4 linked regions of the Drosophila melanogaster genome follow. The protein of the gene in region 1 interacts with the protein of each later gene in a pairwise test. Each region holds a gene or a part of one and is shown in the gene's direction. Other genes may lie near its edges. The genes, in order: RFeSP, Sirt4, CG4835 and Cpr92A.

Region 1 (4,585 bases):
CAGCTGTGCCAAATTCTCGGATCCAAGCACCGCTGCACATGCGGCAGTCCTCCGCAATTTCCAGAGCTCCTGGCGGCTCCTTCGCCTCGCTGATGCTGCACAGATGATTCTGTTCATTTAATTTTCGTTTTTGTAAATGGTTAAAGTCAGCGCAGGGAAGGGGTATGGCATGGCTGGATAGCAGTATAGCAGGATATCAGGATAGCAGTGGGCGTGGCGGCGCCTCCGCATCTGTCAGTCAGCCAGGGAACCTCAGAAACTTTTGCCTGCCACGCACAATTTTCCACTTTCAACTTTTCCAAGGGGTGGCGACCCACTCTGGGTGGGCTCAGCTTTATGCTTGGCTGATGTTGCGATAAGCAGGCCATGTCGTCGCCTACACGGCTAAAAGTATTTGAAAATAAACAATATATGACACACACCATTCATAATTCCCAAATAGGGTATAGCTTAAAAGTTAATAATAACTAAGCTAAACTTTAGGAAATGTAAATATCTCAATTATAAAGCTAAACAATACTTTTTCGAGTGTATTTCGGCTCTTGCTACTGCTGTGCTGATGTTGTTGCTGCCGCAGCCGCAACGCTGCACACGCCGCACAGAAATGGTTGAAAAGGGGGTGGAGTGTGCGGCAAGAAGCGTGGCAGGGAGTGGTAAGGGGGGTAAGGGGGGGCTGCCCTGGGGCAGGGTTGAAACTTTGTTGTTGCTACTGCTGCTGTTGTAGTTGGCGCCAGTTTCCCATGTAAAAGTTGCTGAAAAGTGTAACGCAGTCGAAGCTTGACAAGAGTTAAGTCTGAGTGGGGATGCGGTCGAGTTTTGAAGTTGGAGGCGTTGTGGTGGCTGGAAAATTCGGTGGGTGGATGCGCAAAATCCAGGGAAAGGGCAGATGCCATTGCCACGTCGCCTACGCGGCATAGTTTCAACTTTTCAGGCCTCTACACTGTCAGAAATTGATATGTCAAATATTGGAACATAACAAGTGGTTACTGTTTGTGTCCTAGATATTAAAATGCATAATAAATAAATAAATCTCATTTCCGCACAAAAAAACGTCTGTTATTTTGTGTAAATGTAGAGTATCCCCTTGTTCATATCCCAACTACATTATGAAGTTTGTTTTTGGCCAAATTTTACGCACTTTTCCGTAGGAACCCATTTTGTATGTGTGCGTGTTTTGGGCCAAGTACATAGAGGCGCCGTTATGTGCGCAGATTTTCCTCCTCCGGCTGGGAAATAGATGAACACATCGCAGCGGAGCGAGGAGTGGAGCACTTTCGGGCCCACTTTCACTTGCCACCTAGCCAGTGAAAGGAGGAGGGGAGTGGGTGGCAGCAAAGTTTCGACATCAAAAAGAACTACTTTCGATAATCACAGGACTGGCGCCAGAGGAATTACATTTCAGCCGGCTGCGGGAGAGTTTTCCCCGCTGCCACGGCCGCTTTTTTGGTTTTAAAGTTTGGCCAAATTTCGGGCGGCAAACTTTTATGCGCATAACAAATTCCCCTACATCGGCTGTTTTTTATGCAGTTTTTATTGCCATTTTATGCGTTGGATGAGATCAGCCGAGGCATATCTCCAATTCAGGAGCTACGCTTATTAATTAAGCTGAGAGAAACTACCCCGAAGAAAATAGGCAACATCCAGCAAAGTCCAATCAATGACATCATAATGATGCTGCCCGGGGGAAAATGGAAAAGTGCAGTGGAAAAACTGGATAGTGAAAGTCCGGTGGTTGGACCTCGTCTTTTGTTCTCCACTCGGTGGTGCGTTGACCAACCGGTTTGCCATGGAAACCCCTTTTCATCCGGGCTAAATCTATGCCACTGCAGTTTCCAATTGAAAAGAAAGGTAGTTTTCACTTGAATGAAAAGGTCGAAGGGTGGAAACTGAGCCTCCTTTTCACCTTTCGAAGGAAAACGAAAGGGGATGAAGGATTGAACGGCAAGGTGAAACAAATGCAATTTAATTCGACGCAGGATTATCATTTCAACATGAAATGCATATCAATTTAAATTAAAGTAAAAGCTTTTATGCACTGCGGGGTGGTTTAACGAGCTACAATATCATTTGTTCCAAAAATTATTTGAAATTCTATTCACCTATTTAAAAAACCGTTACTGGGCTGTAATAGCGGCCAGCTCCTGACAGTGAGCAATCGTAGTGGCAACTCTGAGAATGCAAATAGCTGGCAGCACTATACACTAATATATACTAGTATATTGTGGTATTTTTTGCAGGTTACCTGGTATTTCTCACCCACTTGAGTGCGGTCACACTGGTTCTCAGACGAAAACGACAAACGTCGAAATTTTCGTGATCATTTAATTTGATAGGGAAACATACAAAATGATGAACGCCGTGTCGCGTGCTTACGTCAGAGGCGGAGCCCAGGTCCTCTCCACGGGATTGAAGGCGAGCGGCGTGGCCGTCAACTCGATGGGTAAGGCTCTGCGAGGCGAATTCATCGAGCTGCCAGCTGAAAACACAGCCATTACATAATGAATGGATCGGGAAATAGGCGGAAAAAGTTGAATAAAAGCTTGGAAATGCCACCAGGACGTGATTTGCACTCGGCTTTAAGGCGATTTGTCAAATTTCCTTACGTAATTTCAACATAACCTCGTACAATAACAACAATCACTGGCTCACAAGCACACCTGCAATTTACATCGGATCTGTGGGATATACTCAATCGATTTCTGCCAAACGTGGGATTTACTACCTCTGGGACCAGGAATATCATCATGCGAAGTTTGGCACCTCTGTCTGCAAGGGACGCCAAGTTATGCCAAGTTGGCCCAAGATGCCCTGTGTCGGCTATAAGAAATATACCTTCAGCCTTGACAACCCCAAAACAATGTTGTTTACACTCTTCACTGCCCACCACACAAAAAATTTATGATTATATCAGCAACACTGCTCTGCAAACAAGCACAAGGATCTATAGAACCTCTGCACTTCGATCAATGGATAATTAATGATTCCCTCCTTCCTTTCAGCCAATCGCCAGGCACACACCGACCTGCAGGTGCCAGACTTCTCGGCATACCGCCGGGAGTCCGTGAAGGACAGTCGTCGTCGCAACGACACCGCCGAGGAGCGCAAGGCCTTCTCCTACTTGATGGTCGGCGCCGGAGCCGTGGGCGGTGCCTATGCGGCCAAGGGCCTGGTTAACACCTTCATCGGATCGATGAGCGCCTCCGCCGAAGTGCTGGCCATGGCCAAGATCGAGATCAAGCTGTCCGACATCCCGGAGGGCAAGTCGGTTACTTTCAAGTGGCGCGGAAAGCCCCTGTTCATCCGCCACCGCACGGCCGCGGAAATCGAGACCGAGCGAAATGTGCCCACATCCACGCTGCGCGATCCGGAGGCTGATGATGTAGGTACCGTGGAGTGGGTCGATTCGCTAATGCTGTTACCCATTTCCTCTTTAGCAACGTGTGATCAAGCCCGAGTGGCTGGTGGTCATCGGAGTGTGCACGCATCTGGGCTGTGTGCCCATCGCGAACGCCGGCGACTGGGGTGGCTACTACTGCCCCTGCCACGGCTCCCACTACGACGCCTCCGGAAGGATCCGCAAGGGACCCGCGCCCCTCAACTTGGAGGTGCCCACCCACGAGTTCCCCAACGAGGGTCTTCTCGTGGTCGGCTAGAGGAGCTGTTATCGTTTAAGCCCCCAACTGCATAGTGAATGGATCGATGTAAATTAATAAATACAACCAAACAGAACGACCGAGCATAAACGAGCAATTCATTCGAACTGAGGAGGAATAAATGTGAAGGGCTTAAATCCAGCAGCCTAAATCCAGCTTACTTGTTAAAATGTAGACGAATCTTTAGAAGTTTGACAGACATTATTAAATCTTTTGAAGATGTAATTGTTTGCTTCTGGTTTCAAAAATCAAGGAGTGTACATGAGTTTCTTTCGATAATCTTTTGTTTAACTAGGACTATAGTAATTACTGAAGAGCACTGACATTATGAAGACAAGAATAAATTAACTTATCCTAGCTAGCAATTCCTTAGGATGAAGCCTTGCTTTGCGCGACTTTGCGTCGTTTTTCGAGTATTTCCGCTTCGAGAAGTTCGTTTTTCAGGCGCATATTGCGCAGCTCCACCTTTCGCTGCTCCAGCTCGTATTTCTGCTTCTCCATCTCAAGCTTGTGCTTCTCGGCTGCCCGGGCGTTTTCGCATCGATAGTACTCCTGTTGCAGCCTGATCAGAACGACTTTTTCATCCTTCAGGGTATTCGTGGCATCCTCTTCTGAGCTCACATCGACTGACTCTTCATTTACATTCAGAGCTGAGTAGTTTGGTCTGTCAACTGAGTAGCTTGAGTTATTCGGCACGAGCTTGACTTCGGTAGAGGCGCTTCTGAGGCTTTTTCGGTTCAATTCCGATTCGAAATAGGTACTACCTGCAAGATGTTTTTAGAGTTTATTAGAGATAAAGCACTGAAATATTGCTGTAGAAGAACCTATCATGGTAAGACTATTAAGGTACATCTTGTCAACTACCACGTTCATGCTTTTGATCCTGCCATCCTTTACTCACTTTCTTCATTATCAGCAGCTGCAGCCAGCGA
Region 2 (4,076 bases), on another chromosome or scaffold:
GGATTTGGAGCGGCGGCGACGTGTCTCCTTTGAGTCAGAGCGGCGCTCCTTCTGTGTTATCTCGATGGCAGCCGACGACGACTCCTTGCGTCCGGTGGAGGAGGCAGATTCCTTTGACTCCTTAACTGTTTCCTTGATCACAACAGCGACTGATTCCTTGTCTGTCTTATCCGACATGTCAGCCCCATCGGCGGCGGGTGTCGAAGAGGTGGCTGTAGCGCTGGAGGAACTGGCGGCCGCTGTCGATGAGCTGCCAGACTTGCTGGTCGACGACATTCGCTCCATTTCGCGCTGCTTTTTGCGCTCCTTCTCCTTGCTGGCCGCAAGCTTCTCCTTTTCCTTCTCCTTCTCCAGCTCTTTGCGGTGCTCGTCTTCCTCCGCACGCATACGGAATTTGCCTATCTCGCTGCTAATCAAGTTGCGCTTTTCTTCCTCCAGGGTATTTTCGCTTAGCACCTTCATCTTTATGTCTTCCTCGCGGCGTGTCTTCTTATTGCGATTGGCGCTGCCGTACAAATCGGCGCGACTGCTGCTATCGAATCCTTCGAACTCGTGCTTGTGCTCTTCCAGGAATTCGTGCATCTGGGCAATGGCGAACTCGTCCTCGGTCTTTTCGTCCACTGGGTTGGAACGATCGCCGTTCTTGCACTCCTGCTCCTTGTAATCCTCGATGAGAACCTTGTTCTTGGCATCTACCTTGGCTACCAGCTTCTTGCCATCGATTTCCATCTCGCTGAGCAGGCGAACGGCTCGCATTGCCGCAATAGGTCCGCTGAAAGAATGCCAAGGAAAGCGGTTAGGCAGAGTATTTATAGGAACAATTGGAGAGCCAAATGGGTGGACTGCCCGTTGGCTCTAAACATAAATGTATGCAAGCTCAACCCTGTGTTGTATTGCTTAAAGTTAGGTTACTTAAAAGTGCTCGAGTAGTTATTCGATCGCGCATATAGAATTTGAAGAGCTGTCGCAGTAGGGAGCATTCCTAGAAGTATTTCAATCTTTTTATAAATAAGCTAAGCTATTCTAGGAAACGCATCAAACAACGAGTGAGATGCGTTATGCTGCTGTTTATGCAATGGCTCTTCAATTACTTTTCTAGCGTTATTTAACTAACGAAACCTTCTTGTGCTGCCCTAAGCCTTCTAAAGTGATTTTGGGATGACCGATTTATGGTTGAACGTACTCAAATTCGCAGAAGCCGAATGTGGACACCCGTTTCCAATTGATTACCACGCCGCAAGCGTTCAGGATGCGTTTGAGCAGTGCCTCCGGGACGCGTTCGCTGATGTTGCCCACGAAGACGGTAATGATGGGTCCGCGGAACTGTGGTTGCGGCTCCGGCGGACGTTGGTATACTGTCGGCTGTGAACTAATGGTGGCCGAGTTACGGAAGCTCCTCGGCGGCTTGGCCATGTTCTGCATTATCTGAAAGCGGATGGAGTAGGTGGAAAAGGATTTGGCGTCAGATTCTGACAGCTTCATGGTGATTGTGACCCAGAAAAGGTGGACTTACGTGCGGCGGCGGTATGGCTGTATTCATGAAGGGCGGCATGGGCGCCCGCGGCGGGTACGACATCTTGTGCGCTGCGACTCCTTTGCGATGTCCTTTGAAAACACAACTTTAGCGAGCTTGCAAAATTAAAGCCGACAATTCACAAACACACTCACGCACGCACAGACGAGCGACACACACACACACAGGCACGCACGGATGGGCGCAAACGCCACACGGAGTGATAAATATGTGTGTGAATGTCCTGTTTCGTGCTTACGAAGCTGGACGCCCGCAAGGTTCACTGATCGAATCTCGGAAAGGTTGGCCTGTAACTTCTGGGTTCACGGCGCGTGATAAATCCACGCGTAAATTACCGAATAGAATATCTTTTTTCTGCAGCCGTTGCTCTAGAGATGGTAGCTGCTGGCAAGCTGCTATCGGCTGATGGCGTGTAAAAATCGATGGGGGTCGTACAGTTATCGATTGCCATTGCGGGGCATACAATCGATTTACAGCGGTAAGCGACTGAAGGAGTTGCCATCGATGTGCGTGCGCTCACCTCTAGTAACGTAACCGAAAAAGAACCAAATATTACTTGCAATAATACATAACAAAACAATGCGTGTGGGCCAGCTGCTCCGCTTCCGGAGCACCAGCTTGCGCAGCTCCACCGCCAGGCAGGAGTACGTGCCGCATCACAAGCCCGTCGTGGAGGACGACATCAAACGGCTGGAGGACTTTCTCCTGTCCAAACCGAATGTTTTGGTTCTCACGGGCGCTGGCATCTCGACGGAATCGGGTGAGTTTCATGATTTTCCGACTTTTCTATGTTCAGAAGCCATTAACACAAATATTTCAGATTGACTTCCAAAAGCTTGTACATTATTCATTTATTTATATAATGCTAATGCAAGTGACTTCTAGCTTATACTTGGATTCGCATTAGTATTTTATTTAAATCAACATTTCTGGCTGTCTAAAAACTTGAAATAAATTCCAGGGATTCCCGATTACCGTTCCGAAGGCGTGGGCCTCTACGCCCGCTCCAACCACAAGCCCGTCCAGCACATGGAGTTCGTCAAGTCGTCGGCGGTGCGCAAGCGGTACTGGGCCAGGAACTTTGTGGGCTGGCCCAAGTTTTCTGCCACACAGCCCAATGCCACGCATCACGCGCTGGCCAGATTCGAGCGGGAGGAGCGGGTCCAGGCGGTGGTCACCCAGAACGTGGACCGGCTGCACACGAAGGCGGGCAGCCGAAATGTTGTGGAGGTTCATGGCAGTGGCTATGTGGTCAAGTGCCTGTCATGCGAGTACCGGATCGATCGTCACGAGTTCCAGAGCATACTGGCGTCGCTAAATCCGGCCTTCAAAGATGCCCCCGACATGATCCGGCCCGATGGCGATGTAGAGATACCGCTGGAGTACATCGAGAACTTCCGGATACCCGAGTGTACGCAGTGCGGCGGCGACTTGAAGCCGGAAATTGTCTTCTTCGGAGATTCTGTGCCTCGGCCACGAGTGGATCAGATTGCCGGCATGGTGTACAATAGCGATGGCCTGCTTGTCCTCGGGTCCAGTCTCCTGGTCTTCTCCGGCTACCGCGTTGTCCTGCAGACCAAGGACCTCAAGCTACCGGTGGGCATTGTTAATATTGGCGAAACGCGCGCCGATCACCTGGCGGATATCAAGATATCCGCCAAGTGCGGCGATGTCATACCCAAACTGTTCGACTTTCGCAATTCGAAAAGCGTCAGTTAATACTCACAGTTGTTATATGTTGACCCCCACTAAATTTGTAGTTATGGAAAGCCAGGCTTTCTATTTTAGCTAAAAAATAAATGTTAATGATTACTATTTGCAAATGGAATGTAGCGTTGCAACGGAGCTCCTGATTTATGGCTGTGCCTTTGGATCATTTTCGCGCAGGCTCCTCTGGAGCGAAACACAATGACACGCTTTCCGGGAAAAGGATTCGCTCATCCCCCAAGCACATGGGTTCCGAGTCCATGTCCTCTCTGTCTCTCTCAGTGTCCTGTGCTCTGAAATTCCAGCACATCCCAACAGGAAGCGGAAGCAGGAGCGCCGGGGAGAGCTGCGCACTTCCGCTCGCTCCCGTTGAATGTTTTTGTTTTTGCTCCAGGCCGCTGCTCTCAGTGCTCCATATAAATGAACCGCAATTGAGGCATCGGCATCTCCCGCTCGCACACACAAACACACATCGCACACACACATACACGGCCAGTGACACTTTTCACACGCGGTTCATTACCCCCCCTCCTACGACAATCGTCCATTCCTGCTAGAAAAACAATGCGTAGACCTCGCACAATGGGCAAAATCGAAGGACTGCTAAGAATAATAATAATAATAATATAATTATATTAAGTAGTGGTCATGGTTAGCATATTTAAGCAGCATTATATCCTTTATATATGACAATTTCTATCATACATACTCGTCTACTGATTTTATGTCCAAAATGGTCAGATTCTTAACCATATCATTGAAATTCTTGGTCCAAAAATGGAATGTCATACCTCGTTGATCTCGTAATTTGACCCCCAAGTGATGGAAAATCAAA
Region 3 (6,464 bases), on another chromosome or scaffold:
ACATTTTTTATATGGCTTAAAAAACGTTTTGGACGTTTTTTAGGAGTTTCACAGGGGCTTACGTGAAATCTCTGGAAGCTGGAAAAACACACGAATGCCGCCAGACTCGGTGATGAATCTAGGCCCCAGGATGCATTGCGCCATATACAAACCCCCCATCAGATCGCCGAGAATCCTTTCCAGTCGCTGGCGACACACGCACCGGGTCAATTTCATGCAACACAAACAAGGGGAGGAGTTGTGGAACGGGGCAAGGAGCAGCTTTGCTGCGTGGAGGACACGTTTTCCCTCGCTTTCACCCGCTTCTCCGCCGCCATTCCTTTGAGGAGCAGCCAGGCGGACAGAAAGGCGAGCAGGTGCTCAGCTGTAACTAAACGTCCGTTTTAACATTGCCATCTGATGGTCCTGCTTCTTGTTTCCCAGATTTTGGATGGGGTGTGGCATGTGGCACATGTCAGTTGCTGGTCACGTCGCATGCAGGGGCATAATTGATAGTTCAATCTGTTGCAGATCAAACGCTTGACAGCAGCCAACAGATCAAGCTGAAAAATTGTCCAGCAGCAAGTTTGGCCAAAGAGGTGGGAACATTTGATTATATTTGATTTGTTGAGCTAATTCCAAAGAAAAATATGCTAAGTATAGAATAAATTTCATATATCTTTTTATAAAAGAGTAATCATGAGTACCTATAAGTATTGTTTCATTCATACTCCTGACTTTAATTTACCCAAAACCATTTATTATTTTAATCTCAAAAAATCTGTACTTAAATAATCCGCACTTTCTTTTATGCAACTTTATTTTTATATTAATGGATTTGTCCTTTCAGGCTGCACTTTATATTTTCCAACTTCGTGACTGTTTGTCAACCCAAAGGCGACTGAAGAAGGGATGGAAAAAAGGTCAGCCAGACAGCATAAAAACATCCTTCAGACAAATAGATTTGTATGCTTTTAAGTAATTTGCAGCACAAATTGAAATACCATGGCTAGCTTTCTATGCAACTGCAGCTTGCAAATCCACTTTAAACTAGAGATACAAATTTCTTCAATCTGTTTATACATTTTCAACTAATTCTACTTAATGCCGTATTTTGTGTGCCACTCATGTTTTGTCGCTTAATTTTAATGGCTTGCCGGGCATTAAACTTCTAGCTTCATTTATGTTTATGTTCGCATTTTTATTCGTGTAATTTACGCGTCGAGTGCTGATCATAAATTGTGACTCGAACTTCGCTGTCGGAAAGGTCACGTGGGCTCATTAAAGACCCAACAACACCGTGAACTGGAACAAGAACAATAAGTGTAATAACAGCAGCAATAAGAGTCACAAAAGGCGCACACAAAACACATGCGAACAGGATAAAATGATTTACCTTCGAAATGAAAGAATATAAAATGACACTCATTTCACAAGCAATACGTGTGTAAAAAAACACCAGTAGGGGAAATACTTAAAGAAAACCCCAGAGAAGCTTCCTGCCTTATATTTTGCTTAAAATTAACCTTTATAAACAAAACAATCTATGACGCCACGATAAGACTTCAATACGTAATTGGCTTATCACTAGATTAGAATATTACGGAAACTATCTTGTGTTGCTCGTGTTGAAATGGCACTTAAGAAAAATAATTCAGAAGTTAACGATAACATAAAATCACAAATCACAATCACTAGAATGAAAACGATATTCTATAAATTTCAAAGAATTTCTAATTAAATCTAATCAAAATGTCATTAATATAAGCTACCGACGTTGTATCAGGAAATAGCTTTTGCTATAGACAAGACAGTTGGCCTAGTTAACAAGTCAGTGTGGAGTTAAACTCGCAGGCGAAAAGACCTATTAAAAATATATAGTACAATTTAGAAAGGGGAGTTGTTATGCAAGGTAAATCTAAGATATTCTATGCAAGTACAATGCAATAAATTATTATGTCAATTATACATAAATATTTAAACTTAAATACTAGTAATAGTCTCTGTATGTTTTTTTTTTTGTATTATTATTGTATTCTTTCCTTTTCCAGATAATATTTTCAAGCCTTTGCCATGGCTTCTGGTGGTTATCGCCGTATTCTGGAGCTGGCAGCTAAATGTTTTGGCCCTGCCAAAGATCGAACCTCGTCACGAAACTTGCAACAATGAACAGCGATACGAAAACCAGGTGATGTGCGAGGGCAAGGACTTTGGTGCTTTGGTACCGTATCCGGATAACTGTAGTTTGTTCCTAGTTTGCGACTGTCTCTATCCCACGGTGAAGTTGTGTCCCGCAAATCTCTGGTGGGATAATAAGACCCAGCAATGTAATTATCCCCAAGCTGTAGAATGTATCTACTACTCGATTGAAACGCCAGAACCTACGGATGGAACTACTCGATTTACGCCAGAACCAACATCCAGTACTCAAAAGATAACGCCAGAACCCACAGAACCACCATCAAGTACGGCAAAGATAACGACAGAAAGTACCACCGGAACCAGTACAGAGATAACGTCCTCTACCCCCTCAAGTTACCTCCCAACATCCAGTTGGGATCCACCACCGGCACCACCGGGAATTTCAGATGACTACTGTCGCAACAAGGAGGATGGCTCGGTACATTATTATCCATATGACTGCCAGGCCTATATAAACTGCACTTACGGCTGGCCCGTGCTAAATTACTGTATTGAAGACAAGGTATTCAATAAGTACCTTGGCATTTGCGATACTCCCGATATGGCAGATTGCGAGGAGCTGCCCCTTCCTACAACCACAACAGAAATGCCGCCCACTTCAACAACTGAGGAGGATGTGGTTTGCGGTCCAACGCCGGAGGGAATTGAAGAGGATTATTGTGTGCCGAAGGGAAATGGTTTCTATGAGTATCCTTACAATTGCAGTGGGTACTTGGCCTGCAAAAATGGTTGCACAGATTTGGATTACTGCCAGCCGGATAAACTCTTTAATAATTGGCTGCACATCTGCGATACACCCGATTCGGTGCGGTGTGACCCCCTGCCATTCCCCACAACTCCGGGAACAACCAACAAACCAACGACGCCTTCAGTCACGACGACGCCTTCAATCACTACAACTCCTTCAACGCCTACAACACTGCCTTCTGATGGGTCTACAACGGAAATACATTCTAGCACCACAGAAGAGATTGTAACCACTACAGATGGACTTCCCTCTGATGTCGATCCAAATGATTGTAAAGATGAAAAGGACGGCACTATTTTTGCCTACATAGGCAATTGTTCGGAGTACTTAATATGTAAAGACAATCAAGTGCAAATGGGTCATTGTCCTCCTAATACGCTCTTCAATCCCGACTTGCTTGTATGCGATGAGCCAGATGATGTTGTGTGCCTTGGAGATCGCACCACGACACCAATTCCAACCACCATACCAACTACTACTACTGAAAAAACCACTCCTACCACGACTACCACCACAGTGGCAACAACTTTGGGACCAGATCAGCTTTGCGATGGTCAGGAGTTGGGAGCTTCGTTTTCTTATCCGGATGATTGCAGCAAGTATTATCTTTGCTTGGGCGGCGGACAATGGACTCTGGCACCCTGCATTTACGGCAGTTATTTTGATCCCAGCACAGGTCAGTGTGGACCTGATGTGGCACCCGATGCGTGCAAACCATCACAAGTCACAACCACCACAACAACAACAACGACAGAGACCACAACAACCGAAAGAAATACCACACCCAAGTCCACAGCTACAACCACCGAAAGGACAACCACAACTGTGGCCCCAAAAACTGGTATTTGCGGTGGTCGAAATGAGAACGAGAATATTGCTTATCCCAACAACTGCACCAAGTACATTGTGTGCGTTTCACCAATTCCCATAGCGTTCTTCTGTCCCGATGGTACATTCTTCAGTTCCAAGTTAGAGAAGTGCATTGATGATTGGGATGAAAGTGATTGTGAGGGTGATCAAAGCACAACGACTCTAGAACCAGGCTATACAAGACCTCCTCCGGAACCGACCATGTGTACAAATAGCAGTCGGGATACATTCCCATATCCGGACAATTGTCAATGGTTCATACGCTGTGTGGATGATTACATTTACATGATGGACGTCTGTAATTGTGGGGAGTACTACGATCCAATTACTGAAAAGTGTGGAGCGGATGTTCCTTCAGATGCCTGTCGATGGGACTACACTTCAACCACATCAACTACCAGTGAGCCGACAACGACCACAGCGGTTACGAGACCACCACCGCAGAAAGGACCTTGTGACGACGTCGAGGATGGGGCCCTTGTCGCTTATCCCAACGATTGTTCGAAGTATATTCAGTGCGATAGACCCATTGCGGTTGCCTTTGAATGCGAAAAAGGAGATGAATTTAGTGTGGAGCTTGGAAAATGTGTTGATGCTTCACTCGCCAATTGTTCGATTACAACCACTGCTAAGCCATCGGAGTCGACGACTACACCAAGAGACGGGGAAGGCTCAACAACGCCTTCCGAACCATCAACGGGATCTTCTACAGAATCGTCTACAGAATCAACAACAGAACCATCTACAGAATCAACAACAGAATCAACAACAGAATCAACAACGGAATCAACAACAGAATCATCTACAGGACAATCAACAGAAACTACAGAATCATCTACAGTATTATCTACTGATACTTCTGAATCACCTTCAACAATTTCAACACCACCATCATCTACTACAATGGAACCAGGAACAACTAACCCGGAAGCTTCTACAACTGAAAAGCCGGCAGATGGAATTTGTGAAGGCAAGACAGACGACTCCTTGGTACCCTACCCGAGAAACTGTAGCAAGTATATAAAGTGCCAATATCCAATACCAGTTGGTTACGATTGTCCGGATGGTTTGGAGTTTAGTCCCACGGAATTGACCTGCATGGATCCCGAACTAGCTGGTTGTAGCACTAAGTTAACCACACCAGGGCTTACAACTTTAAGTACAGAAGCTTCGTCTACACCGGTAACAACAGTTTCAACAACACCCGAGGCTACCACTACAGAAATGTCAACTACTCCAAAGACTACTACTACCGAGTCAACCACAATCTCAACAACAACCACAGATTCAACCACTCCCCAAACAACTACAACAGAATCGACAACTTCCAAAACAACTACCACAGAATCAACGATAATTTCAACAACTCCAACGACAACCGAGCCAACAACTCCAAAGACCACTACTACCGAGTCAACCACAATCCCAACAACAACCACAGAATCAACTACAGCTACAACCACTCCCCAAACAACTACCACGGAATCAACGACAATTTCAACAACTCCAAAGACTACTACTACAGAGTCAACGACAGTTTCAACAACCCCAACGACAACCGAGTCAACGACAATTTCAACAACCCCAACGACAACCGAGCCAACAACCGTTTCAACAACTCCAAAGACAACAACCACCGAATCGACAACAGTAACAACAACAACTGAATCGACAACCACAGTTTCTACACCAACAACTCTAGATCCGTACACCCCCAATATATGCTGTGGCCAAGCTCTTGGAACTCTGCTTCCGTATCCCAATGATTGCGGTCGCTATGTCGTCTGTGACTATCCCATTCCATATGCCGTGGATTGCGATGAGGGAACGATTTTCGATGATAATCTTCTTCAATGCACCTCTGTTCCCAATGAAAGGTGTCTTTTTATTGAATTTTAAAAAAATATATTAATAAAGCATAAATCACAGCAATAATCTTTTCCATTTCTGTTCTTTTTGCTACCCCAAAAAATCAATTGGGTAAATGCACAAATGCTCAATAGCTGGGAATCGCTTAACATATTCCTCACACATTACACTTCTAGGGCTTTCTAAGTCCTTTTTTAAGTGTTTCACTTTTTAGACATATACTTTGCTCCAGTTTTAGTATCAATTACATGCAAACCCTTTTCCCGTAATATGTCGCAAAAAAACGGAACCAAGAAAAAAAAAGTAATTTACCACTTAACACAGTCAATTCCCCGGACAGGTAACAAGCCGATTGGAATTGCAGAACCTCCTGTCGAAAGGATTGCAAACGAAGACCCTCAAGGGGACGCAAACGCGCGACAGTATTTTTAGCAACAGGCTAAAAGCAGTTTCCCCTTGACAATGCCACGTCTGATATCCTGCTCAGTTACAAGTTTCAGCCATTTATCGTAGCCTGATACTGCCGTTCTTGGCCCAAAGCTGAAACCCTCGGAAGCTCGTCTAATCAGATTTGGGGTTGGCCACATAAAAACACAATTGCCAAGGAATTATCCTTAGGGTGTGAGGTGGCAGGCAGGACATATACAATTGAGGGTAAATATAACAAGCACAAGGATAAGTTGTTCAGTTTTGTTGTTGCTACTGCGGTTGTTGTTGTGGAAATCGAAGAAAGGGAAAGGAAACCAAAGCAAGTTATGTATGTGAGCATCAATGACAGTAACGACACAAAATGAAC
Region 4 (3,988 bases), on another chromosome or scaffold:
TGACCAGAAGCTAAATTAAACTGCGCTGGGAATAGCCATAAATTTATCTTTAGCGGCTTTAGGCAATATGTTTCATAAAGCTAAAACAGCTGGATGGGTTTTAAAATTACAGATATACCGTCAAATGTTTTGCCAGCTGTGAGCCCTGTAATTGGGAAAATATCTACAGGAGATGTCACATCTATCGCGTAAGTTTTTGTCGAAACAAAATTTTTGCAATTAAAATACCTACATACATACCAATATTGTGCTTAACTAATCCATTATTGACTAGATTTTCCATTCAGCCATATTGGCAACTTTGTAGCATTAGCCTGCCATTCTTGTTGATCAATTGCTTTGATCTTCTGGCTAAAAATAGTTAAAACAGCTGACATCGACTGGCCCGGCGGTTGGCACGACTTTGATTCTTTGTTATAGTTAGTTGTCGCATAAACAGGCCCGATGGTAACAGCAAGGGTAAGACAATGCATGCAGATGTCAATAGTTTTCCAGATGCCAGATACAAATTTGCAGCCATAAATTAAGCTCACAAAACGGTAAACATGAGAATTGTCGCAGACACTTGGTCGTTAGAGGCTGGAAAGGGTATTTTTGGCTAATCAGGCACTCTTAGGAACTAGCTGCAAACTTTTTTGGTCCTTCCAGAAATTATCTCAAGTTTATCATTGATTATAAACTATGTAACTGATCAGTATTCCTATTACAATGTGTCCTATCATAGTCAGCTTTTAGCATCTCCGCTACGTAGCAACCATTTAAGGGGAAGATCAAACAGAAAACCAGTCTTCAGCTGAAGGATCAGTCATGAGTAACCTTATATAGTCGTCATGCCACTTTTTGAAGGGTATTATTAATGACATTATTTGCCTAGACTGCAAGTGGTTGTTTGGCCTGGTCTGTGGGCCAGACTAATGTGCCGACAGCAGCGCGTTGACCTTTTGCTTTATTAGGCTGTTGTGGCGAGCCAGTCGCCCCTGTTTCCGCCCCCCTTCTTCGGTGAGCCTCTGGCTTTTGGGCCCACTCCAGGCACTCTTAATTCAATTGTGGACCACCTGACCTTTTGCGCATGCGCTGCAACTGCCATTTCATATGGAACCTCAACATCGCCCGGTGCAGCTTGTTCTTCTTAGCTAATTACGCGGCAGCCAAATGCAGCATATCCTAACATCCAGCCAATGTTAATGTAACATTTCAATTGTGTGCGGCAAAATAAATTTTCACATAATTGCCAAAAGTCGGTGTCCAAGCGGGTATTGAAAAGCGAATCGAAAACGAATCGTAAACGTCGCAAAAGTGAAAGGGCAAAGCTCGGGTTGGATTGGCTCCGGGGTCTGGGGACCCTTTAAATGGTTTAGCGGAAGAATAACCTTTCTAAGTCGACACGATAACTGCGCCAAAGTTGAAGCCAGGCACACGATTTGCCGCCAGGTGGGCAAGAGTCAATCCCCGCCCCCGTGGCTCCGCAGTACTGGTCCGCGCCATGTGCTTGATCGCTGGCCCAAGACACCGAAGACTCCGTCTGGCCGGGTCTCTCTTGATCTGAAATTAGTTTATTGCCTCGACTGCGCCATGTGAAGCAGGCGACATTTGCCGCCGTTTGCCAGTATAAATGGCCAGAACTTCCAGCGAACGCTTGCAGTTTTGGTTACTTCTTCTAGCGCGATCGTCGTCGAAACCAACAATACTCCGGCCACTCTCTACGTGTGGTGTCTGCTGAGTCTGTGACAACTGTGAGCGAGTGGAAAGGATACCCCTGCAAGGACATCGTTATGCTGAAGGTGTGAAAACAAAGGATACCAAAGTGCTCTTATAGTCTGGACAATCAAGTTTAAGCCGATTTAACATATTCTCAAGGGGAATGCCAAGATGAATTAACCAAGTGTTCCTATTACTAAAAGCTTATATTTTATTCATACAAAGAAAATTAGTGCATAAAGAAGATAGTTTAAGTCCTAATGAAACCCGTCGAATGATCCGAGTTAATATGTGATTTGATTTAAATTAAATTTAATTGCCAAGAATTATTCTAAACAATTCTTCCCTGTCCTCATATTACTTAAAGCTTATTTCAATTTAATCGCTTTCAACATTTTCTTTTAATTTTTTTTTCAGATTTCCCTGCTGAGCGCCATGCTCGGCATCGCCTATGCGGGCGTGATTGGACCCGGACCATACTATGGCGGTCCAGCTGGTCCCGGACCTCTGCACCACTATGGAGGATATGCACCGCAGCATGGGCCCCTGCCAGGTCCCTATGTGGCGCCCAAGCCGGCTGCTCCCGAACCCTACGATCCCGACCCGAAGTACTCCTTTGGCTACGACATCCAGGATGGTTATACTGGTGACCTGAAGTCACAGCACGAGACGCGCCACGGAGATGTGGTGAAGGGCAGCTACTCGGTTGTGGATCCGGATGGAACCAAACGCACCGTTGACTACACAGCGGATCCCCATCACGGATTCAATGCGGTGGTCCGCAAGGAGCCGCTGGCCTACAAGGCACCAGCCCACCTGGCACCCGTCGTCGCACCTGCACCCGCTCCAGTACCAGCTCATTACGGCCCAGCTCCGGCGCCTCCACTTCCGCCGGTGCCCAAGGCTCCTCTGCTTTCGTATCCTCTTGCCTTAGGACCTTACCACCGTGGTGCTCCCGCTCCTGCACCAGGTCCCGCTCCCGCTCCTGCTCCAGCTCCGGTGTCTGTGCCAGTGGCTACTCCAGTCCTGCCCTCCGCCCACTTCCATGCCGCCTATCCCGCCCTGGCGCACAGCCCCTATGCCCACTATCCGGCTCCAGGTCCGGCCCCCGCTCCAGTGGAACCCCATGCCTACTACCATCACTGAGGGACCAAGGTTCTCAACTATCTGATCTGATTTGATTCGACTTCATCTATCGCACGCAGCTTACACTGACCCAAAACTGAAACTCCGGCTATATCTGTGCCAAACGCTGTACTCTCAATCTCTTACTCTGTGTTCTTCGAGGGATTTGATACCGATCCAACATGTAGATTGATTCTAAGTTACCCCTAGCCTATGTACACGTCTTTAAGAAAATGTTGTTGAATGGTTAGTCTAGGAAATAAAACGAGAATTGAAAAACCTAACAAATTTGTTTGCGGTCTTCCCTAGAAACTATTAGATTGAAGTTCCGAAGCCAAGAAGAAAATAGTCCCACAAAAAGTTTTTAAATAATTTAAAAAACAACGTTTTAACGCAATTGATGAGTGTTTTATTTATTGTATCAACTTTTCGCAATGGTTCATATATGTATATGTTATATGATATCGTATGTGGCATATCTCATATGTATAATTTCTGATTATGTATAAATATGTATATGTGTGTTGTATATAAACGTTTCGAGTATGTCACCGTATGTTATAAATAAGTTTATTACAATGCATAATGTGTTATTATTTATGTATTATGTTTTATGTTTAATAGGTTCTATGAGCTACCATTCGTAGAACATACTGAAATGTTTTCGATATCGATATAAATTTATGTACTCCTCAGCCGACTTCAAAAGTTCATCAGTGTGCAGAGTGCGTTTTGGTCTCGCTGCACTCGATTAGGTATACAATTTAAATACGATTATAGTCCTTAGTTTTGTAATAAACGGTATCAAAAGATAGGTACAATTGAGTCATGCCTGCTACCACTAAATTAATTTCGAAGCTTCTATTCCAACAAAAACGATTAGTTGCCAAGCTCGGGGCTTTGTGTCTATCATTATCCGTCTGATTGATTTGATGTGTACGATTATTTAAACTAAGGGTCTTTAGGCTGATATACCATACAAAAGTGCTGTGCTCTAGAGGCCTTTACAGTTGGACACAATTTAGCTAAGTAATCTGCTTAGAATAAGAGACTAATATACGGTGTACATACCGCTAATATAAATAAGCGGCTAATATAGCTCACAGTATTCCTTGACAATTGTATAATATTTAATTCATAATTTCTTCGTTGATTGTTTGGCTTC

The links.
Region 2: the proteins of RFeSP (region 1) and Sirt4 interact in a two-hybrid assay, tested with the Drosophila melanogaster proteins (one large-scale study listed by BioGRID).
Region 3: the proteins of RFeSP (region 1) and CG4835 interact in a two-hybrid assay, tested with the Drosophila melanogaster proteins (one large-scale study listed by BioGRID).
Region 4: the proteins of RFeSP (region 1) and Cpr92A interact in a two-hybrid assay, tested with the Drosophila melanogaster proteins (one large-scale study listed by BioGRID).

What each region holds. Positions count from the first base shown.
Region 1 is NT_033779.5:1,611,838-1,616,422, reverse strand, and holds RFeSP (rieske iron-sulfur protein), read left to right. Parts: upstream 1-2,262; 5' UTR 2,263-2,346; coding exon 2,347-2,440; intron 2,441-2,999; coding exon 3,000-3,379; intron 3,380-3,434; coding exon 3,435-3,653; 3' UTR 3,654-3,994; downstream 3,995-4,585. Other genes in the region: CG14352 (uncharacterized protein), read right to left, coding at 4,023-4,417, 4,555-4,585.
Region 2 is NC_004354.4:5,663,906-5,667,981, reverse strand, and holds Sirt4 (sirtuin 4), read left to right. Parts: upstream 1-2,041; 5' UTR 2,042-2,113; coding exon 2,114-2,294; intron 2,295-2,354; exon of another isoform or gene 2,355-2,495; coding exon 2,496-3,253; 3' UTR 3,254-3,354; downstream 3,355-4,076. Other genes in the region: CG4119 (uncharacterized protein), read right to left, coding at 1-772, 1,184-1,425, 1,514-1,576. UniProt on the Drosophila melanogaster protein: NAD-dependent protein deacylase. Catalyzes the NAD-dependent hydrolysis of acyl groups from lysine residues.
Region 3 is NT_037436.4:5,477,966-5,484,429, forward strand, and holds CG4835 (uncharacterized protein), read left to right. Parts: upstream 1-1,824; 5' UTR 1,825-1,884; coding exon 1,885-1,891; intron 1,892-2,030; coding exon 2,031-5,698; downstream 5,699-6,464.
Region 4 is NT_033777.3:19,596,619-19,600,606, reverse strand, and holds Cpr92A (cuticular protein 92A), read left to right. Parts: upstream 1-1,651; 5' UTR 1,652-1,772; coding exon 1,773-1,781; intron 1,782-2,115; coding exon 2,116-2,844; 3' UTR 2,845-3,105; downstream 3,106-3,988.